Linked DNA regions of Elephas maximus indicus. The protein of the gene in region 1 purifies or fractionates together with the protein of each later gene. This does not show direct contact. Links are inferred from orthologs where the notes say so. Each region holds a gene or a part of one and is shown on either strand. Other genes may lie near its edges.

Region 1 (7,853 bases):
TAGGGGTGGGAAGGAGGGGAAAACCTTGGGAGGGGGTTGGGGTCAGCTGGGTGGGAGCCCACAGGACCCAGGAAACAGGCCACTGTGGGCACCCGCCTGCAGGCTGCCTGTGCCAGCTCCCATAGGCACAATGGACTGCTTGTTAGGCCCTGGGCAGGAGCTCCTGGTGGGAGTGGGGGTGGGGGAGGCCTGGGCAAGGAGGAGGGAAGGCTGGCCAGGAGCAGGCTTGCTGGACAAAGCCTCCTTGGGCATGCAGGTCTGCAGGACCAAGCTCCGGCCTTCGCCCTGTTGGGCAGCCTCTCTGGGGCTCTCACTGCATAGCACAGCCTGCTCCCCCAGAGGAAGGCAGAGGGGAACTGGGGCAACTGGCAGAGAGGGGTAGGGGGATATGAGACTTTGTTTCAGTTCCCTCTGCCTCCCCCAGTCCCTGAGTGAGCATCTGCTTGCCAGCGGGCACAAGGAGCAACTCAGGCCAGGGGAGAGGCCCTGGCCAACAGCAAGGGCACCGCCCACTGCCCGCTGGGAAGCAGTGGTGGCACCCTAAACCCGAACAAGGCCAAGGTTCCGGGGAGGGGTAGAGTGGGGGGCATTTCCAGGCAGCAGGAACCACTCCTTCTGAGCTCAAAGGGAGTATCAGCTCCATCCTTTATCTCCCTTCCCTCAGACTGAGGACTCAGAGGTTCAGCGTGCAGTGAGGAGGGGGTGGAGAGAAGTAGCCGGTGAGAGGAAAGGTGGACCTGGAGGGTATTCCCTGGTGCTCTCTTGCACATGGTCACACACACACACACACACACACACACACACACACACACACACACACACACACACACACTTCCTCCTATGTCTTCAGACTGATTGTTGGATGGAGGATCTTCCCTGGCCAGCCAGGTTCTACTGAGGTTAGGTCAGGGGTAAGGGGCTCCAGGCATTCAGGAGATGGAAATGGAGGAAGGGAACTCAGAGGGGTGGGTGGAAGAGGACAGGGAGGAGGTTCTCAGGTCAGGGTGTCTAATGAGGCTCTTCTACCCAGAAACTGGTGTGGAGGCTGTCCCACCTCACCTTTGCTGTTGGACTGGGCCACTACCTTCTGGGGCCAGACTAGTTCTGGGCTTTTTGCTCAGTGTGACTGTGTGTGCCTGTGGGGTCGGTGGGGGTTCATGGGGAGGGCAGCCAGTGGGATGGGAATGGAGGTGGAGTGATGTGGCTCTGACTTGTGGGGGTGCCACCAGTGGGGATCATGTGAGCAGCATGGGTTGTGGGTACAGAAGGGAGTCAGCTGAATTGTATGTGGGTGTGTGTATGCAGTGGGTGGTCATATGAGCAGCACACGACTTGCGGGGACCAGAGGAGATGAGGGTGCATAGGGGCTGTGACTGGTTGTCAGGCCTTGGGGGGGGTTGGCAAGGGTACAGACAAAGCTGGGGGCAGCTCCTTGTCTCTGGTCTGAGTTTGGGGGGATTCCTTCTGACATTCGAGCAGTGGCCTGTTGGGGATCTAGCTTTTCCGTGGCTGTGGGGAGTGGAGGGCTGAGACTGGAGGAGGGGCAGCTCACCAGCTGGATCCCATTAAGACTCCTATCAAATGCGAAACATGCAGACACATCCTAGTTCCCCCACTGCTCTCTTCCTTGTGGGGAAATTGAGGCAGAGGAGAGTGGGAGGTCAGGAGGCCCAGGACAGGGTAGGTCCAAGCAGGGACCCCTCCCTGTCCAGCTGACTGCTTGAGGCCAAGTTGCCTGGTCAGCATCTGCAGTCTCTGCCCGTCAGCTGACCAGACTCTTCCTTTCCCAGCCTCCCCATTCCACTCTGTACTCAGTGACAACTGCCCTCTTGTAGAGTGGTGGATGGAGGGCAGGAGGTGCCCCCCAACCACTTGAGTTTTCAGGGGTTGTTGACCCTTGATGCCTCAGCCTGCCTGCCACCCCACCCCCATCTGGCCCAACCTTCAGGGATAGACAGAGGTGGGGATGGGAAGGGTAGTCTGAGTTTTTCTCCTCGAAGCCCTGCCAGGAAACATTGGGGAGGGCTTTTCATAGGGACGATGAGGCACCCAGGGGAATTGGACCTGCATCTGGCAGAGGACAGAGGGTGCCTGGACATTTCTGGTGTCCTTCCAGAATTCATCCAGCCCCTTTCCTTCCAAACAGCCAGCTCCAAAGAGCTGGAAGAGATGCGGTACTTCTACTTCGGCTGGCAAACACCTTCCCATCTCTAAGTGCTGCTTTGACCTTGGGGTCTTGGCCCTACGCACTTTTCCAGGTCCAGCTACAAGTCCACGTGGACTTCTCAACTTTCCCCTTTTCTGGATTGACGGGAGGGAGGAACTTCCAAGCTCTTTCCACCTCAGTTTCCCTGAGTTTGGGACGCCCAGCCTCTGAGGACCCCAAGGGGAGGGGCTCTACTGCCTTCCCTTTGGGCTTGGCGCGGGGCAGGGTTGGCTCCCTGGTCTCTCCCTGACTGCGGCCTCCGCCTCCTCTCCCGCCCCTCTCCATGCCGGCACCTACCTTCCCCGGCGAGCAGGTGGCGGGGACTGAGACCGCCTGGGAGGGCAGGAGCATCTCTGCTCGGCTCCCGCCTGGCGCGGCCGCTGCGGGCCCTTAGGGAGGGGCCCGGGAGAAGTCCGAGATGTGCTCTCTCCCCTCGTGACCGGGTCAGGACAGGGCTCCGAGAGGCTGGGCGCACGAGGAGGAAGAAGGAGGCAGAGGCAGTGAGCGAGCGCGAGCGCGCTGGGAGGCAGGGGACGTGAGCTTTGGCAGAGGGAGGGCGACCGGCGGAGTTTGTGTTTCCAATCTGGACTGTTTGCGGAGGGGTGGGGTGGGGGGCCGGCTACTCCCTTTCCCGCCTCGCGGGGCGGGGGCTCGAGGACAGCCCGCCAAGGGCGTGCGAGTGCCCTCCGTCCGGGCTTTGGCCGGGCGCCCCGCGGGGACGCTGGTGGCTCCTGGCCCAGGAGGCCGGGCCGGCCGGGAGGCGGCGCCGGCAGGAGCCACCCGAAGGTCCCCGGGGAGCCTGCTCTGGTTTCCCAGCTGCCTTTCCCCGGCCCCCACCGCAGGGCTGGCGTCGGACAGGGGGCGGAGGAGCCAGCAAAGGCCACTCAGAGTTTCCAGCGACACTTCCAGCTTGTGGGAAGGGAGCGGCTGCACAGCCGAGCCAGGACAGGGCAGGAATGATTAACAAGAACTAGCCCTGGGCCCCAGGGCCCGAGTCGAGCCAGCAGCTGATACGGAGTCCGCAACCTCAGAGAAGCCCGAGACGGGCCAGAGATGAAGACAGGCTGGGACCAAGATAAGCCGGAGAACGCCGAGGGCCTCCCAGACAGAGCTGCAAAGCGGAACGAGTTAAGGCCTTGGAGAAAGATTTTTGTGCTTGCGTAGACACGCGTCCGGACGTGTGCAAACACACACACACTCGCCTGCAAACATGCCGATGCTCACACACGTGCAAGCACCGAGGACTGCCCGGGGAGAAAGTCAGCCTGAGGGAGCGGCCCACTGGGCGCACCACGCCTCTATAGGATGAGGGTGGGGCCCCTCTGGCCGGGATGGGGTTAGGAGGGTCTTGGTGTTCCCATACGCCGTATTTATTTTGATTTTGTTGCTTTTCCGCTGTTCCAGCTGCTCTGGCACAAGCCCCAAGAGCCCCGCCCATGGGCTCCCTGACCTTTCTGGCTACGCCACCCCTCCCCCGCCCGCCCTGTTTGCACAGGGTCTGTTGTAGAAAGCGGGGATGCTTAATGAATGCTTATCGATAATGGAAACAGACGCTGGAGTACTTCTAGCTCTTGGCTTGGCTGTGGGACCCCAGGCCCCAAACCAACAATCCAACAGTAACTGAGCAACTCCACATACTTTTTGGGACAGAACAATGACAGATTTTGAAAACATGTAAACATGGACCGCATACCTACTGGGTGTAAGGTTTGTACTCTGAGGCCACAATACACCTTGGAGTACTTACTCAAAAGTTGAGAGTGGGGAAGGGGATGAACAACTTTCCACCTTTACCATCCTGAACGTTTTAGCTTTATATTTTTTCTATGCAGTTGAAAGAGCTCAATCAGGATGCCCAGAATGAGCGTGAAACAATGTCCCATAGAAAACAGCTGAAAGAGATGTTTAGGCTGAGGGGATACTTAGGAGAGACAGGGCATGCTGGCTATCTTCCAGTACCTGCAGGGTTGCCACGTGGAAGTAGAGTGGTTGCACTGTGGGTCTAGGAGCAGAAGTGGGACCATTGGGTGTAAATGATAGGGAAGCAGATCCAAGGCTTCCAAGGAAGAGTTTGAGGGGAGGCAGCCGTGCCTTTTCCCTCCCCTAAAACTTGGATACTTACCACCCCTAGGTACTATGGGCTTCCTCCCTCAGGGACAAACTATGTGCTCATTTCCCTTGGAAACTGTGGTGGCATAGTGGCTAAGAGCTATGGCTGCTAACCAAAAAGGTCAGCAGTTCGAATCCACCGGGCGCTCCTTGGAAACCCTATGGGGCAATTCCACTCTGTCCTATAGATAGGGTCGCTATGACTTGGAGTCGACTATTCGAGTTGGAATCAATGTTCCCTAGTCACCAGTTTTTCCTACCTGTCAGGGTCCGTGGGACTAGAAAGGACCACATCACTTTCATTTTTTTCCTTGTTCTCCAAAGATGGTGACGCTGAAGATCTTCCAACTTTGGGAATCCTGGCCATACCCTCTCTCCCCAGGAGCAAGCTTCCTTTGCTTTCTAGGGCTCTGACCAGGACTCCAAGATAAATATTTAACAGAGGTTGCAGCTGAGCTGACAAAGGTCCCAACTTCCTGTTTGTCATAAAGGGAGGTGGCAGCCATCGGTAAGGAGCTGGGGACTGGCTACCACTTTCATCACTATGGGAATAGGGAGTCCAGTAAACAGCTTTGCAAGAGGAGGCGGGACAGGCCCAGGTGGTGACCTGAGCCTTTTTCCTAAGCTGCTTTGACTTTTGCCTGTCTCGCTAGGCCCCTGTTCCGGGCTTACCACCTTCTCTCTCAGGTCAGAACCTGCTTTGCCCTGGCACCAGTGGACACTCTCCTTCCCAGAGTCTTAGGCTCTCTGTTAGACAAAGGAGGGTCTATGACCAGATCCCCCCATTGTGTTCCATGGTGCCCATCTGACCTCACAGAAGAGAGGATGAGAGATTGGTGGGAGCATAGCGCAGGAAAGACATAAGGAACTGTGTGGCTAATTCCTCCTTTTCTGCCCATATTTAGGGAGAAAAATTCGTCTCCTTGGAAAACTGTGAATGATGGGAAAAAAAGTAGCAAGGTCCAGGGATTCAGCCAAGAACCAGGTATCTGGTGGGCAGCTCCTGTCTGGAGGTTAGATGAGAAGGCAGAGGGGGCAGGAGCTGGTTGAATGGACACGGGGAATACAGGGTGGAGAGGAGGAATGTGCTGTCTCATTAAGGGGAGAGCAGCTAGGAGTACATAGCAAGGTGTGTATAAGTTTTTGTATGAGAGACTGACTTGATTTGTAAACTTTCATTTATAAGCACAATTAAAAAAAAAAAAAAAAAAGAACCAGGTGTCTGATTTCTCAACTTCTCCCTCTAGCTTCAGCTCTACTTGCTGCTGGCCTAGCTCCACAGCAGGCATCTTTCTAGGGAGAGACTGAGGATAGGGAAGGTCGTCCTAGATAACATTAGCTGTTGTCAACAACAGAGCAGATTCCTTTCATCCCAATGTGCTATCTCCTGGGCAGGATTCCCTTATATCTTTCAACAGGGACCTCCCTCCCTGTGAGTCGGCCTCTTCTCCACCTATGGCACTGCCTTTTGTCAGGAGGCTCCCTCTGCCTTCTCAGAGCCACCTGAGCCAGAGTAAACACAGTTACATAACTGCTCTGTTTCCCTAGCAATCTGATCCCAGTCACCAGTATTCTGTCCCCCACCTCCCCACCCCTTAGGCTGCCGCCTTTTGTTCTGTGGATTATCCCCCAGTAGCGCCCATGTCAACAGAAGTCTGTCCATTCTCACCACTCTAAAGGACCATTAGCCAAGAGACTGCCAATAAAGGATGTGGCTCTTCACACGGAGGGGGAGAAGAGGGTGGCTGTTCATACAGAAATGAAGGTCACTCTGAAAACCAACCTCTGTCGCCAGAGAAAGGATGAATGGAAAGAGCACTTAAGTAGCTTTTTTTGTAACAAGGAAGGTCAGGTGAGTAGGAGAGAGCAGAGAACTCAGTTTCATTTCTCAAATGGGAAAAGGGAAGCAAGGGATCCCAGAAGACGTAAACCTGGACTCTCGTTTCTTGGGGAGTGTCTTTATCCAGGGCTGAAGTCTAGCATTCATGTCACACTGCTGAGCTCCACCCTGCTCAACCAAGAGGCTCCCCAGCTCTGTGCCTCAGTCCCCCGTATTAGATAAAGGAAGGGCAGACGAGCCCTGGCATATTCTTCAGTTAGGCTTTGAGCTGGTTTCTCAATTGTGCTCTCAGAAAAGTGTTTTCTTCCTGCCAGGGGAACTCAGCAAGTAGACAAGAATGGGTTAGGAAAGAAAGTGCTGTCCCTTTGGAGGAGTTTGGTCTTCTCTGGAGGGGAGGTGAGGGACTGAAATAAAGTCATACCAGATGTACGAGCACAAATCTGGACTGTTTCACCCCCTGGGCTCCTTTCCTCTCTCCTGGTCCTCCTCTGATTCTAGCGCCTGCTTATGTTGCCAGCCAAGTTCTATTGATGCCCGTTGTCTGTGTCAGCCACTCATGGGAACAGGAGACGGCAGAGGAGGAAAGGGCTATTTCCAAGCCTGGCCCATCTGGAATCCAAGTGTTTTGGGGGTAGTCACTGTGAAGTGAGGGATCTCTGAGAGTGAAAAGCTACACAATACAGGTCAAGTATGTCAGTGTTAGGCCAGCCAGGATGAGTGCGTGGAAACCCATAGGAGTAACATTATGAGGCTTTCAGGCCTGCTTTGCACAGATCTTTCCATAGCGTTCGCATGCTGTAACAGGCATCTATTCAGGGTTCTCAGAGTCAATCAAATCCAAACCCTGAAGGCTGTGAGAGAGTTCAGCCTGTTGGCCAGTGTATCTAGCTTATCCCCAAGGAAGCCTTTACACTGACATCACATCAACGATTGGTCTCTCTCTTCCTCTTTTTATAGATGAGCAAACAAGCACAATGTTGTTGCCTTTGAGAAGAACTGAACTGTATGAACCGCTTTTAGTTCTCAGGCAAGATGGAAACAGCAAGTGGCTGTCAGCTCTTTAGACAATAGATTTTATACGAGAAGGATAAATGAGTGATGACCTCAGAGGGAAAACCCAGCCAAGTCAACTCAGCCACAAAGAAGGGCACAGAACCAGGAGTTGGAAAATTAGGTCTGCATCATCCTTCTTTCCTAGCTCAGGTATACTGAGATAATAAGACAAGAGGGCTAATGTGTTGACTAGTGGATACCATGAGGTAGTGCTTTGGCCTCTAAACAAAGAATAACCTTGTCTTCCCACCTCCTTGAATTCTATGATGAACCTTTTCCTTAACTGCATCAACATTAAAGAAAAGACTACCTAATTGGCCATTAAATTCTTAATCCCTTGTATCAAAACAAAACATACTTTTTCCCCAAAATCTCAAAGTTGTGGTAAGAAGCAAAAAGTGAGACCCTGCAATTACACATACTGGGCAAGAAAGTGGGGATTAGATCTAGATATAGTTAGAGAGGAAACCCTGGTGGCATAGCGGTTAAGTGCTATGGCTGCTTACCAAGAGGTCGGCAGTTCAAATCCCACCAGGTGCTCCTTGGAAACTCTATGGAGCAGTTCTACCCTGTCCTATAGGGTCGCTATGAGTTGGAATCGACTCAACGGCTGTGGGTTTTATAGTGAGAGAGAAATAAGAATTT
Region 2 (7,965 bases), on another chromosome or scaffold:
TATAAATAGGTAGGCAGACAGATGTTACTGTTGTTAGGTGCCGGCGTGGAGTTGGTTCTGACTCATAGTAACCCTGCGCACAACAGAGCGAAACACTGCCCAGTCCTGCCCCATCCTCACAATTGTTGCTATGGTTGAGCCCACTGTTGTAGCCACTGTATCAGTCCATCTCATCAAGGGTCTTCTCCTTTTTCGCTGACCCTCTGCTTCACCAAGCATGATGTCCTTCTCTAGGGACTTATCCCTCCTGGTAACATTTCTGAAGTATATGAGACGAAGTCTCATCATCCTCGCTTCTAAGGAGCATGCTGGCTGTACTTCTTCCAAGACAGATTTGGTCATTCTTTTGGCAGTTCACGGTATATTCAATTCAGTATTCTTCGCCAACACCACAATTCAAAGGCATCAGTTCTTCTCTGGTCTTCCTTATTCACTGTCCAGCTTTCGCGTGCATCTGAGGCAATTGAAAACACCATGGCTTGGGTCAGACGCACCTTAGTCCTCAAGGTGACAGCTTTGCTTTTCATCACTTTAAAGAGGTCTTTTGCAGCTGGTTTGCCCAATGCAATGTGTCTTTTGATTTCTCGGCTGCTGCTTCCACGGGTACTGATTGTGAATCCAAGTAAAATAAAACCCTGACAACCTCAATCTTTTCTCCGTTTATCATGATGTTGCTTATTGGTCCAGTTGTGAGGATTTCTGTTTTCTTTATGTTGAGGTGTAATCCATACTGAAGGCTGTGGTCTTTGATCTTCATTAGTAAGGGCTTCAAGTCCTCTTCACTTTCAGCAAGCAAGGTTGTGTCATCTGCGTAACGCAGGTTGTTAATGAGTCTTCCTCCAATCCTGATGCCACGTTCTTCTTTATGTAGTCCAGCTTCTCAGATTATTTGTTCAGCATACAGATTGAATAGGTATGGTGAAAGGATATGACCCTGACACACAGCTCTCCTGGCTTTAAACCATGCAGTATCCCCTTGTTCTGTTTGAATGGCTGCCTCTTATCCATGTACAGATTTCTCATAAGCACAATTAAGTGTTCCAAAATTCCCATTCTCCACAATGTTAGCTATAATTTGTTATACGTTATATGTGTGTGTTTTTTTTTTTTTTTTAGGCAGATAAATAAGAGCAATTAAAAAGAAAAAATTACCCTGATGATGTCTTCCTCTGTCCTCTCCCATGGCCACATCTGACAGTCTCAGCATCTTTCAAAGCACCATCCCAGGGGAGAACTGGGTTTGCCCAGCAACCCAGATGCCAACCACAGTTGAGCGGGCAGAATGCAGGTTGGAGGGACAGAAATACAAGAGTTGAAAGCCCAAACTGGAGACGGAAGGGCTGCCGATGAAACAGCCTGCTGTGTGGCCAAGAGAGTTTAGTCTCTCTGCATGTCAGTTTCCTTCAGTTATAAAAGTTGAGGTTGGGATGGCCAATACACATCAGAGCCGCTACGAGGAACAGCTTATAAAATCATTCCCTTAACAAGTGAGGCTTTTAACAGCCAAATAAATGGGTCCGATCAGCCTTCTGCATGTAAGTGCTAAGGGCAATTTCTCAGCCCTCTTGGTTCACTCGTAAAACAGGGGCAAGACCTGGAAAAGGTGGCACTCACTGTTCCCTGACTTCAAATGTGTTAAATGAAGCAAGAAATCATCATTCAAAACTCCTGGTGCCCAATATGAGCATTTTAACGACTCCGAGCCGGAGTTTCCAGCAAAGTAGAACTAATAAAGTTCATAGGGCAGTAACAATTAAACAAGAAATGACAAAGCAGATGCCTGCTACACAGTAGGTGCCTAATAAATGCTAGTTCTCTCTCTCCCCCGTTTAGGAGGCTGGCTACACACCCCCCAACTAGGCCAGGCCAAGCCTTTCGCTTGCAGCAAACTCCCAGCAGCTCCCCCACACGCACACCCTCCCTCACGGATGCCGGGCACACTCTCCAAACGGTCACCCCTAAGACCAAGGACACAGGGGGCCCTGAAGACACCAGCAAGGGAACCGGCCCACCAGCCTTTCCTGCTCAGGCAACTCAGTCCCGTCAGGGAGAGAGCTGAGCCGCAGCAGCCACTACCAGGATTTTCCCATGGTGCAGTGCAACTTCCCCAACTTTTCCCGGCCCACAGAAACCTAGCCGGCATTGTGCACAATCAGCCACAGCTCTGGGGGAGGAAGGGAGCTGAGACAGCCGGAGAGTGAAAAGGCACAAGTGATCCTGCGACGGGGTGGAAGGGCTCAAAATCCAGGAGCGCCAGTCCTAGCCCGGCCTCCCCAGCCTTCCAGACTTGATCAAAGGCTCGCACAGGCTCCCCAGGGACTAGCGGATGGTGAAGAGATTAGGAAAGAGGCTGACAGACAGACAGACATCCGTCTGAGGTCCCCCGATGGCTGGATCTGGCGGCCTCCGACGGACCCGCTTCTGTAGCACCTAGGAGGTTCAAGACCTTCCGTGCGGGGCACTGATCACAGCGAGCGGTGGCACTGGGGGACCAGGTGTGCATCGGGGATCCACCTATCGCCCCCTCCCGCAGGTGGGATAAGGCGGGAAGGTTCTACCCGAGGCCAGCGCCAGGTAGATCGGTGGCCCTCCACCTGGGAAGCTGGGGAGACAAGGCGTGGAAGGCAAGTGCAAGAGGCCGGGAGCGGGGGTCCGACACTCACCCGCGCCCTCGGCGGGCTGCGGCGGCCCGACCACGCCGTTCAGGTAGAGGATGGGCAGCAGGTGAGGCTGCGTCTTCTCCAGCGCCGCCCGCAGGTCCTGGAAGTGGTCCCGCTCCTTGGCCAGGAGCAGCTTGAGCAGCAGCTCCGCCTTGGCGCCTCCCGCCTCCTCGTCCAGCTGCCGCCGCTCGCCGGGGCTCAGCGCGCCCGCGGCCTCCAGCAGCCCGAGCACGGCTTCCACCTCCGTCATGGCCTGGGCCAGGCTCTGCTGACACTGAGCGAGCAGCTCCCGGCGCTGGGGCTCCATGGTGGCCGGCGGGCGCGCAGGGGGCGGCGGGGGGCGCGCAGGGGGCGGCGGGGGGCGGCGGGCGGCGGGCGCGCAGAGGGCGGCGGGGGGCGCGCAGGGGGCGCGCAGGGGGCCCGCGGCGCCTCCGGCCGGGCGGGCGAGCGCCGGCTGCAGCCCTAGCGCGCCGGGAGCCGCGAGGCCGCGGGGGCCATGGGCCGGGGCCTGGGCGGCTGCGGCCCGGGGAGCCGAGCGGCGCTCAGCAGCGGCCGCCTCCCGGGCTCAGGAGCGCAGCCATGTTGGCTGCGGCGGCGGCGGGACTGGGAGAGGAGGAGGAGGAGACGGAGGAGGAGAAGGAGGCGGAGGAGGTGGGGACGGCGGCCGGGGCGCGCCCCGAGGCCGGGCTGCGGCCGGGCATGCTCCCCTCCCCCTCCGCGCGCGCTCCCTCCCCGGCTCCGCGCGAAAACGCGCCCCGAAACCCCGGGCCCCGAAACAGACTCCAACTCCCAGGGAAAAGTGGCCAGGGAGGCGTTTGCAGGGCCCCCGACGGCCCCGGCCCGGGCTCGGCGGCCGCCTCGGCCCTGCCCGGCCCCTGCGTCCCGGTCCGGCTCCCCGGGGCCCCCCGGCCGCCGCCGCCGCCAGCCGGTGCCTCCGCGCCCTCCCCTCCCCCGGCCGTCCCTCCGAGCGCCCGTGAGGTCTGCCCCCAGAGGAGGCGGTGACCGAGGGGACGGGCGAAGGAAAGGGGTCCCCGCCTCCCCGCTCCCGGCCCTTGGAGGAGGCGGGCCGCCGCGCGCGCTCGGCGGGGTCTCCTAACATGACAACTCCAGAGTAAAGCCAGGAGACAACTGGGGGGAGTCCCCTAAACTGGGACATCTCCAGTTAGGACCTCCCTCCTATCTCTGAGGTCTCCACTCCAAGAAGCTCTTTAGAGAATTTCCCAGTGAAGTCCCCTAAACTGAGACTCGGTTAATCAGGATTTTTCCCGGTCTCTTCCCTTACCCTTCACCCCTATTTAGGATGGGCTGGTCTCGGAGTCTAAAGGGGTTCGGATGCGGGGGTGGGGGTGGGGAGAGTAATGTTGCTGGGCGAGGAAGAAGGTGGATTTCTAGTGGAATGGTTCGTCTTTTCCGCGAGAGAGGTGCACTCCCCCTTAGATGTCACCCCAGAGTCTAGCTGGCCTCGGGAGGGGCCAAATCAATGGGCTGTGGAAACCTGCGTTCCCGAAGATCTCACTGAGAATCTCCTCTGCGATTTCCAAGCCCCAGAAGATTTTCTGCCTTCCATTACCGCAGCAATGCCCTGCCTGGAGGACAAGCTCCTTAAAAGGTAGAATCCCAAATGATTGCTGTCTGTAACCTCCACCACACTGCTCTAGACTGGGATTCCAGGTCCCCTTCTACTTGTCTGTATTAGAGTGAGTCTCACTTTTTTTTTTTTTTTTCTCACTTACAAACGCTGGGGACACACGTGATTTTTTTACTAACACCATCACTCCCACCATCACCATTTGCCAAGTCCAGCAAAAAAGTTTTCTTAAGCATACTGCTTCATTGACAGGGAGTGGTCTTTCATTTAATGGATGCAAACTCTTTATATAGTGCTTAGAGCAAGAGTGTCAGAATTTACACTTAGGTTTTGACTTTCCCTCTAAATAGCTGCATATCCCAAAAAAAAAAAAAAAAGAAAGAAAGAAAACACCAAAAGTCTAGCAGTGGGATAGATTCCAACTCTAGCGACCTTTTAGGACAGAATAGAACTGCCCGATAGGGTTTCCATGGAGCGGCTGCAGACTTTTTGGTTAGCAGCCGAGCTCTTAGCCACTACGTCACCAGGGCTTCAGCTGTTGTTGTTGTTGTTAGGTGCTTTCCAGTCAGTTCCGACTCATAGCGACCCTATGCACAACAGAATGAAACACTGCCTGGTCCTGCACCATCCTTACAGTCGTTGTTATGCTTGAGCTCATTGTTGGAGCTGCTGTGTCAATCCATCTCGTTCAGGGTCTTCCTCTTTTCCGCTGACCCCGTACTCTGCCAAGCATGATGTCCTTCTCCAGGGACTGATCCCTCCTGATGACATGTCCAAAGTATGTAAGATGCAGTCTCGCCATCCTTGCCTTTAAGGAGCATTCTGGTTGTACTTCTTCTAGGACAGATTTGTTCATTCTTTTGGCAGTCCATGGTATATTAAATATTCTTCGCCAACACCACAATTCAAAGGCATCAGTTCTTCTTCAGTCTTCCTTATTCATTGCCCAGCTTTCACATGCATATGATGCGACTGAAAATACCATGGCTTGGGTCAGGCACACCTTAGTCTGCAGGGTGACATCTTTGCCCTTTGACCTTTGGGCTTCAGTGCTGTGGGGCAAATCAGTTATCCTTGCTGATCTTGTTTTTCTCATCAGGAAAATGGGGCAGAGAGAGTTTATTAGATCAGGTGTTCTTAACCTTGGGTCCGTGGATAAGCCTGAAGGTGTCCATGAAGCTTTTGATTTTATCTGAAACTTTTTTTGTGGACATTTATGTATTTTTCTGGGATGAAGCTTCCATTAAAAAAATATTAACAGTTGCCATGGAGTGGACGCCAACTCATGGCAACCCCACGTCTGCCAGAGTAGAACTGTGCTCCACGTGGTTTTCGGTGACTGATTTTTCAGAATAGATTGTCAGGCCTTTCTCCCAAGGCGCCTCTGGGTGGACTCAAGCCTCCAGCCTTCCAGCCAACCATATTGACTTTCATCAAGTTCTTTAAGGCCTCCATAACCCAAGATGGACTCCTAAATGGACTCCAAAATGAAACTAAGTTATGTTTATATACCTTTCTACTCAGTCTCAGTTTCTATGCCTGAGCAAGTTTTCAGGGGAAGGAAAATCGCCTGTTGCACATTGCCAGGGCTCTAGACAAGCTCCCTCTCTTCTCCTCCCCCTCCTGCCCCACCTGAGAGATGGTTCCCCTGACTTCCCTTACAGCAAGTGCACAGCCTAAACCATCCTCAAAGGCATCCACCTTTCAGAACACACCTGGAGCCTCTGTTCTCAGCTGGATTAGCTACAAGTGTAGGGAGTGGGAGGAAAGTGGAAATAGGGAGAAAGAAGTCAGACACGAATTTGGTTTATGGTTAGAACTGACTGTGAATAAGTCTCAGATATCCAAAGGGTGCCCGAGACAGGAAGGGGCAGGAGGGAGGCACAGTCTCCCAGGACCCCTGAAAGGATGGTGGGGAGCATGTATGTTTTTTTTTCCCCTGTGAGTCTTAGTGGGAGCAGTGAACAGGCCCATTTGCTAAGAGTACTTTCTCAGTAGGCTGGAAACTACTTTCAGTAAACCCTTCTTTATAGAAACTCTAGGATTTTATGCAAATTATACAGTTTAGAGAAGACAATTTACTTTATAAAAACATTTACTTTAGGATTCCTTTCATCAGTGACCTTGGTATGATCTTGTATTTCTGTAGCACTTGACACCCTTTGGGGCACTGTTACAGATTGAATTGTGTCCCCCAGAAATACATGTTGTAAGTCCTAAATTCTATGCCTTCAGTTACAATCCCATTTGGAATTGGGCTGTCTTTGTTATGTTAATGGAAGGATTAGTGTAGGGTGTATCTGAGTCAATCTCTTTAGAGATATAAAAGAGATTAAACAAGCAAGTAGAGAGAGGTGGGAAAAGAGATACACTACACCACAGGAAGATCATCAAGGAACCAAGGAATAAGACCTTCTCCCAGAGCCACAAAAAAAAAAAAAAAAAAAAGCCCTTTCCCTAGAGCCAGTGCCCTGAATTCAGACTTCCAGCCTCCTGACCTGGGAGAGAATCAACTTCTGTGTGTTAAAGCCGTCCACTTGTGGCATTTCTGTTACAGCAGCACTAGATCACTAAGACAGGCACCTTCCCCCACACTATCTACTTTGGGCCCCATCACAATTGGGGAGGTATGAAGGACAAAGATGGGTGTCCCCATTGGACAAATCAAACTATCGTCGCACTCTTCAACTGCCTAAGTATTTTTCTGGAGATTTACTCACCTTTCCACCTTTCTCTGGTCTTAGAAAAAGAGGGTGTCTCCTCCTTGAGAACAGCCTCTTCCATGTTGTTGTTAGGTACCACTGGGTCAATTCCAACTCACAGCAACCCTACGTACAGCAGAACGAAACACTGCCCAGGCCTGCACCATACTCACAGTTGTTGCTCTGTTTGAGCCCATGTTGCAGCCACAATGCCAACCCATCTCATCAAGGGTCTTCCTCTTTTTCACTGACCCTCTACCCTACCAAGCATGATGTGCTTCTCCAGGGACTGGTCCCTCCTGATAACATGTCCAAAATACATGAGACAGAGTCCCACCAACTTCACTTCTAAGGAGCACTCTGGCTGTACTTCTTCCAAGACAGATCTGTTCATTCTTCTGGCAGCCCATGATATATTCAATATGCTTTGCCAACACCATAATTCAAAGACACCGATTCTTTGGTCTTCTTTATTCATTGTCCACCTTTCGCATACATATGAGGTGATTGAAAATACCATGGCTTGAGTCAGGTGCACCTTAGAGAACAGCCTCTTCCATGCTCTGGATGCAATCCCTGCACGCTACACACATGCAAAGACACACACGTACCCCTTTTCCAGAACCCTCCACCGTCATATGCTATCCCACTTTCTCCCACTGTCCAAGTTTCCCTCTGCTCTGACTCATGTCAACCAGAAGGCTTGGGGCTTCCCCATTCTCAAAAGCCTTCCCTCTCGCATTTACTTAGGAGAGAAACATGGTGTGACGCTTAGGGGACCTCTAGAAGTTCACAGACTTCTCACTCCTTGGTTGGTGCTTTGATATCTAGCTTCTCAACATAACTCCCCACAGAAAGCTGGTTCTCCACATTAGCCTCCTGAAGCCTTGCCTTCATACCTCCAGCATCACCTCTGGGCTGCTTCATCCCATCCTCAGAACATCCTCTTGTTCTCTCTCCCCCGTCTGCTCCACTGGCTCCTTTCTCCCCAAGGTTGACTCCTTCTCTCCTTCTC
Region 3 (7,655 bases), on another chromosome or scaffold:
AAGCCCAAGGCGTTTTCCATTTTGACAGTATGCCTCTTACGCATCACTCTTGAAGTATTGCCTTACTCATCAGTTTATATATTTGTTTCCCTTTTTAGACACAGTAAGCTCCTCAGCCCTGATTTTGACCTCGACGCTGGTTACTCAATACATGTTTGTTGAATGAATGAAAGATGGAATGAAACTCCTTGAGAGTTCGAACTATAACTGCTTGTCTCATTTCTTAAATCCTTAGATAGGCTCTAAATACACTTGCCTAAGAAATCTGACCTATAAATCAGATCAAATTTACTGCCAATTTATTATAGGACAATGTATTTCAGTATTTTTAAACTAACAAAAATGGTATAAATAGCAAAGAAAAATAAATGTTTGAAAAAAATTATAATATCATTCTTACTTTACTATTAACTGGGGACTTCAAGCATTAAAGCTAATCTTTACAACAATTTCCTCCCACAAGAGGAGGCAACTATAACAATGCAGTTTTAAACGAAAGAAATTCAAAACGTAAAGTCCTTGGTTAGTAACCGATGACATAAGAAGTTAAGCACTGAATATTGACAATTTATTCTACAATCTTCATATGCTAATCAGTAAACAAGGCTATCATTCTCTATCACAGCATTCTTGCACGTTATTTTTTCAAATCAGTTAGATGCTAATGGTAAGCACAAAGCAATTAGTCACTATATTTGTGTATAAATGTAACATGCTGCCTAATGTTTCTGGTATGTGCTTTTTGATACAGATTACATAGTAAATGTAATAAACGAGCAAAACTGGATTCTTTTTTTTTTAAAATCATTTGCAGGTAACAGAATTTAAAGTGCTGAAGATTTTCCTAGATAAATTAGTTCTGCTTTAAGAGTCTTACATTTTAATTATATTGGTTTTTGATGAAAAGAAAAAAGAAGGGATTACTTTTTTAATAGTACTCTTAAGAAATAAATCAATAACAGCTAAGGAAAAAATCTTCTAAAGCAATATGATGTAGTGGAAAATAAAATGGCCTAGGCTTTGAAGTTCTTGTTTTCTAATTCTAGTTACATTACTAAATTGTTATGTGACTTAGGGCTCACTGGCTCAGTGTTCTCATTTCTTAAAAAAAAAAAAAAAAAAAGTGTATGTATTTGTGGAAGAGATTTGATTATTTTAAAGATGTTTCCCAAAGTTCTGGTTTTAAGCCACCCTCTTGTTTCATTCCTCTAATTGGTAAACTCAAATTCCGCTCTCTAAAATCTAACTTCAATATGAAAACACATCTGAAATTGGATGCGATTCAATCTCCAAGTGGATGGCACAGATTACAAAGTGTAGAATCTCATAAAGTTAAGAATTAATTCGCTAACTTTCCAGAAATTGTCTAACGTCTTAAACAACCAGGTGTAGTCTGGTTGGGCATATTTAATGTTACTAAGGTTTTTTAAGGAAGGTTATCAGATGATAAAGCTCTGTTGAAATTCCCCTAGGTGTTTCCTGGGCCCCAGTGGCATACTCTGCAGGTGCTAACCAGCAAAGGAGGAGAAAAGGACCTAGGCAGCGTTTCAACAAACTCAACCACCGCAGTAAGATGCAGCCTGACAAGGCCTACACCAGGGAGCAGAACCTCCCCACCCCCAGAAGTGTCAGCAGCCAATGTAATGAACGCTTCCGTCAACAACACACATACCCCTTCCCACCGGAGAACTGCTTGCTCCAACCCGGCCATCTGGGATTGGAATCGGCCGCAGAGCCCCAACCTAAAAATCATTCTCAAGCCCCAACCGCCAAAAACTACTCGAGACTGCGGTTTCCCCGCTCATGGCTGTGGGGTGAGAAGCACCCCCCCTTGCCGATGGGGGGGAAAATTCATCAGTGGGAAGGAGAGGAGAAGCCGGGCCTGGCTGAGACTGGTGGAGAAATAAACCCTGTTTTTCGGCAGTGGAAATCAGTAGCATTTCCTGCCCTTGTTCCGAAGCGAAGAGAGCTCAGGACCCCGCGCTCGACTTCATTCCCTCCCGAGATCCTAAAAGAGAACTGCTTCATTCCCATTTAGGCTCCATTCCCTGACCTATCCTCTCCTGGAACCTTTGGCATTGTGAAGAAAGGCACGCCCTGATCAAGGAGTAGGACGTGAAGCGAGGGCCAGACAGGGGCCCGGGTTCTGAGATCAAGCGCCTCCTGCAAGAAAATCCCCTTGTGGCCGGCGAGTAAAGTTTGCACCAGCAGCAAGGGCGCGGGCAGGGTCCCCGCCCGGCGGGCTCCAGGACAGGCCTGCGGAGGTGACACTCCTCCGCGTCCCGGCAGCACCGAGGGCAGGGGACAGGGCGCGGCGCTGGGCCGGCCGGCAGAGGCCTGGCGGGCAGCGGGACCCTCCCGGCGCCGCTCCCGCCTCTTCCCCGCTCCCCCTTTCCCCTTCTCGACCCTCAACCCGGGCGATAACGTCGAGGTGGCGGCGCGGATCTCGGCCACTGACCACACATTTCTTGCCGAGGAAGGTGAAGAGGGACTCATTCTCCTGAGGGGTGAGCAGCAGGGACCCCACGTTGGTGACCCTCCGCGGCGGCGGCGGCTGCTGCTGGCCGGAGCTCATGGTTTGGCCGGCAGGGCTGGGAGTCCAGGGCCGTCTCCTCTGGCGAGTGGGAGAGCGCTCGTCCCCCTCTCGGTGACAGGGGTGGGGAGGAGGGGAGTCAGAGGTGCAGCATCTCGCAGCTCCTCAGCGCGGGGCGGAGGAGGAGGAGAAGGAAAGGAGGCGCTGACGGCGGGCCGTCCTCGGGCCGCGCTGAAAAAGGAAAGCTCCGGGCTCCCGCCCGGCTAGACCCGGGCCGGATGGTCGTTGTCCTCACAGTCCGGCGACTGCGCTAAACTCCCAACTCCTCCTCCAATCGTCGTCCCTGGCCTTCAGCGGCGGCGGCGGCCGCACAATCCAACATGGCAGCGAGGGCGGGCGAGACCACAGGGCGCAGTAGGCGGGGGAGCGCGCCGGAAACGCGCGTGCGGCCTGGCGGGGGGACTCCCCCAACCGCGGCCGCGCCGCCCGAGGCCACGCCTCCTTCCGGTCGCGGCGCGGGCCGTACGGCTGACTCGGGGTTGCGCTCCCGGACGCGGGCTCGGGCCTCCCCGGTCCTGCTGCAGGGGCCGGGGCTGAGGAGAGCGTGAGGGCTGTTCGCTGCGGCTGTCTGCGGACGCGCACCTTGGCGTTATGTCGGTGAGGACCCAGGCCCGGTTCCCCGGAACGGCTCTTATTTCCGAGGCGCGGAAACAGAAGGCGCACACCGCTGGTCGGAAAGGCCTGGAATGTGGAGACAGAACATCGGGGAGAAGACCTGCGCTCCCCGCCGTGTCCTGCTCGCCTGTTGTGGTCAGAGCCGCAGGTGCTCGGGGTTTCTCGAACTTTGTCCAGACTTCAGCAGTGGGAGTGGAGGCTCCAACAGGCCTCTCCCGGGATTGCGAAGGCGAGATCTGTCCCTGGTGACGGCTGTGAGATAGAACAAACGCACTTAGGAAAGTCGGCCGCGCCTCCGGTCACCTGGGATAAACGTGTATGTCAGTTCAAGTTCTGTTTCTAAGAGACCTGAACACGTTTTTTTACTCTGTCGTGTGAATTAAGACAACGTCCCCCCACCCCAGTATTTTTTCTATTTCTCAAATCTCAAAGACCTTGTTAACTTTTGCTCCACATAATGTGTCCATTTTGGGATGTCACACAGGAAGATACCTTATCTGGTTTAATCCTTAGACGTAAACTCAAGGTTTCTTTTGTTTTTTGTTTTTTTTTTGGTATGCCTCAGGATGTTGAAAGTTACCAGAGATAGCCCCGTTTGCTAATATATTGAATACTAAATATCGTAAAACGAAATTTTGGAATATGGAAGTAATACCGACTACAGTGAATTATGCATCTGCCTGTTCTCCACATTAAACAAATTAGTTTTATTGCATAAAGTTTATCATCATACTTGCAAATTAATTTAATTAAACAAAAAAATCTGATAGCAAAAGTTTGTAAAACGATTTGATTCTAACACCTCTAGTAGCTCCCAATACAAACCTGATGTATTAAGTAAATTGATAAACCACTGTAAATACACTCAGAATATTGTGCATATTTAAAATTAAAGCTGTTCTTACTGAAATTGGCTTGTTGTTAGGTGCCCTTGAGTCGGTTCCGACTCATAGCGACCGTATGCCCAGTTAAACAAAACTCTGCCCGGTTCTGTGCCATCCTTACACCATCCTTGTTATGCTTGAGCTCATTGTGGCAGCCACTGTGTCAGTCCACCTCCTTGAGGGTCTTCCTCTTTTCCGCTGACCCTGTAGTTTGCCAAGCATGATGTCCTTCTCCAGGGACTGATCCCTCCTGATACCATGTCCAAAGTATGCAAGACTTAGCCTCGCTGTTCTTGCTTCTAAGGAGCATTCTGGTTGTACTTCTTCCAAGAGAGATTTGTTCATTCTTTTGGCAGTCCATGGTTTATTCAATATTCTTAGCCAACACCATAATTCAAAGGCGTTAGTTCTTTGGTCTTCCTTATTCATTGTCCAGCTTTCACATGCATATGATGCGATTGAAAATACCATGGCTTGGGGTCAGGCGCACCTTAGTCTTCAAGGTGACATCTTTGCTCTTCAACACTTTAAAGAGGTCCTTTGCAACAGATTTACCCAATGCAATGTGTCTTTTGATTTCTTGACTGCTGTTTCTGTGGCTGTTGATTATGGATCCAAGTAAAATGAAATTGGCTCAACAGGAATAAACCTGCAAGGGAAAATGAAAGTGTATAGCCTTGGGAGCGCTTATCTAAAATATGGATGTGTATTTTAAAACTAAACCTGTTTAACAATGTTAAGGAAAAGGTGATTTAAAAAAAAAAGAAAAAAGCAATAGGATTATTTATAAAATAATTCTTTTTAGAACCAAAACTCACTGCCATCCAGCCGATTCCAACTCATAGTGATCCTATAGGACAGAGTAGAACTGCCCCATGGAGTTTCTAAGAAGCACCTGGTAGATTCAAACTGCCAACCTTTTGGTTGGCAACCATAGCACTTAACCACTAGGCCACCAGGGTTTCCAGTTTTAGAAAGGCATAGTAAGAAGGTAAACTTGAGGTTGCCTCTGAATTAGAGTTAGCAAAATAACCATAGAAGCTAAATCAATTTGTCTCTTGTATCAAAAGTACAGTTCCTATAAGTTTAAAACAGTGACAGAAGAAAGCATTAGAAATTCCACCCCCAGTGGCTGTCAAGTCATTCCAACTCATAGCAACTCCACGTGTTATAGAGTAGAACCGCGCTCCACAGGGTTTTCATGGCTGTGACCTTTGGAAGCAGATTGCCAGGCTTCTCTCCTGAGACACCCCTGGGTGGGTTTGAACCTTCAACTTTTTGTTAGTAGTGGGAACTTAACCAGGTGCTTAACCATTTGCAGTTCCATGTGTTTCCAAGTGTTATCTGAAACGTGGGGTCAGTATGAGGCAGAATTGACTCAATGGGCAAAGGGTTTGGTTTATTAATAGTACTGTTTTAATTACTATTTTATCCTTTCAGGAAATTTTAAGTATCTGTTTCTAAATGCAGTTTTATGATTCTTTGCCCTTGTTCTGTCTTTGTTAGAAATGAAGATTGAAAATTATAACCGCCATAAATTTCTTAAACTCAAACCATTTTCTTAAATTTTTTATAAAAAATCTAAATACTCTGTAGTACTTTGTTCACAAAATCACAATTTAAGTTATTATTTTCTATCCTCTTTTTTGTTATTTTTGCTTACCTGTGGACTTTTTTCAATTCCTTGATACTGTTCTTAAAATGAGGAAAATGTAGCATGAACATAACATTGGAAATATGACTTCCTTACCCTTTTGAACACGTGAACAAGCAATATTTATTTTTCCTCCTTCCCATTTATAAAACGTTCTATTTTTCCATGTTCACACTGAGACCAAGAAGTACTGACTGCATTTCTTTTAGCAGTTTTAACAAGTCCTTTCTTCCTTTTATTCTTGATAGTGTGTCCTCTGTTTGGCAGAAGACATCTCTCTCTCTTTTTTCTTTGCCAAGTTATTTTCTTATCTCAAATTCTTTTTACTTAGTTTGAGAGATTGGATTTGATCCAGGAAATAAGAAAGGTTCTATTTCCCTTCAAGTGGATAGCCTAAAGTTTGCAAGCGAGGAATTTTATTCTGTCCCTGGAGCTTTCACTTCCCTCCCAAACGGCTTTCATTCATTTCTTCGTTAACTCACCAATCCATCCTTCATATTCAGAAATGTACACAGACCGTTAGGCTGACATTACAACACACCCAGACACACTCAGGTGAGGTTCTTGTGTGTTGCCCATCTGAGGTTTGTGGCATCAAAACTCTCAGAAATGGATATCTGTTTCTGCATCACCCTGAAGGAGTACTTCTCATAGCAACATGGTAAGGGCCTTCTGTTCAGAAAAAGGCAATTTTAACCTTCTACACTGGCTTGGTTAAGGATACAAGGAGAAGCTTTATATATATATATAAAATACAAATTATTCTCAGTATGCTTCCTCCTATAAAAACCCTTCCCTTAAAAGAAGGCTGAAAAGAGTTTAAAAAGTGATGACAATTTCTACTGTTTCACTGTTTACACTCTAAATCTATTATGAAAATCACTTTCATAGAAAATGTCTCTGAGAGAAGTCATGTGTGACTATGAAAGTTCAGGCATAGAGATTTTATATATAATATGTGCAATATTAAAATGTCTATGAATATAAATAAAAATAAGGAAATTCTTAAGTTTAATTTCTTCCATTTGAATTTTCCTTGATTTAACTGGAGTCTATTCTGGTACTTTTCTTTTTTCTTTCTTTACTATGATCCCTTAGAGTAAAACTCTCATTTTAGCAGAAAACATTAAGGTAGCTTATTTATGGAAATAAGGGCATATTTTCAGATGCATTCCCTGATGTCGTCATTACACTTTGCAAATTTCTCTTGTTCTGGTTCTTTATTATCCATTTTTTTCTTTAGAAATGTCATTGTGTATGTACTCTTACAAGTCCTCTGAAACAGCCCGTTCCCCTTGCTAATGTTAATAATCTAAAATGTAGTGACAGCCTTCATTGTGGGGCAATATAGAAGGAGGTGCACATGGGGATCTTTGGCATTCAGCAGCCATTGTAGCCGGAATTGCTGGTACTAATGTGCTACTTGGTTATGGCAGAACTGAATTACTTATAGAGACATAACAGCAGCAAACCTGGATACTGTAGGGGTGATGAGTGCTACTTCTCCCATCCAACCTCCAGGTGTCATGGGTTTAAAATGTTCACATTTTAAAATATTTCCGCATGTTTTTATGTAAATGTTGCAGATAGCAGTGCTTCAGAGATTTTGTTCTTCTACATGTACCACCAAGTCAGATGTTGAATATTTTTCAACAACTAAAATCTTAAAAAGTAAGCTATTTTTTCCCCCCTTCCTTTTAAATTCGTTTTGAGTACAAGCTCCTTTGGGGCGTACTGTTTAAAAGAATTGATAGCTTACTAACCATTTGTTCTGATTTTTTACATATGATAATGGAGACTTGAATTCTTATTCATAGTAGTGAATTACCAGTGCTGTTTACTACCACTATGTGGCTTAGTCTCCAGACACCTAATGCATACTTTTATTCAAGAAATAATTTGAAGAGCT

What was found. Proteins that work in one complex are often made in the same cells at the same time.
Region 2: the proteins of SORBS3 (region 1) and DLG5 purify together in Homo sapiens (co-immunoprecipitation; 3 studies listed by BioGRID and IntAct, with this or other methods). This does not show direct contact. The link is inferred for Elephas maximus indicus from reciprocal best matches to the Homo sapiens genes SORBS3 and DLG5.
Region 3: the proteins of SORBS3 (region 1) and WASL purify together in Homo sapiens (co-immunoprecipitation; 3 studies listed by BioGRID and IntAct, with this or other methods). This does not show direct contact. The link is inferred for Elephas maximus indicus from reciprocal best matches to the Homo sapiens genes SORBS3 and WASL.

What each region holds. Positions count from the first base shown.
Region 1 is NC_064840.1:52,127,555-52,135,407, forward strand, and holds the start of SORBS3 (vinexin), read right to left. Parts: upstream 3,016-7,853; 5' UTR 2,504-3,015; intron 1-2,503. UniProt on the Homo sapiens protein: Vinexin alpha isoform promotes up-regulation of actin stress fiber formation. Vinexin beta isoform plays a role in cell spreading and enhances the activation of JNK/SAPK in response to EGF stimulation by using its third SH3 domain.
Region 2 is NC_064834.1:9,142,290-9,150,254, reverse strand, and holds the start of DLG5 (disks large homolog 5), read right to left. Parts: upstream 3,005-7,965; 5' UTR 2,968-3,004; coding exon 2,664-2,967; intron 1-2,663. UniProt on the Homo sapiens protein: Acts as a regulator of the Hippo signaling pathway.
Region 3 is NC_064826.1:25,970,960-25,978,614, reverse strand, and holds the start of WASL (actin nucleation-promoting factor WASL), read right to left. Parts: upstream 3,005-7,655; 5' UTR 2,576-3,004; coding exon 2,459-2,575; intron 1-2,458. UniProt on the Homo sapiens protein: Regulates actin polymerization by stimulating the actin-nucleating activity of the Arp2/3 complex. Involved in various processes, such as mitosis and cytokinesis, via its role in the regulation of actin polymerization.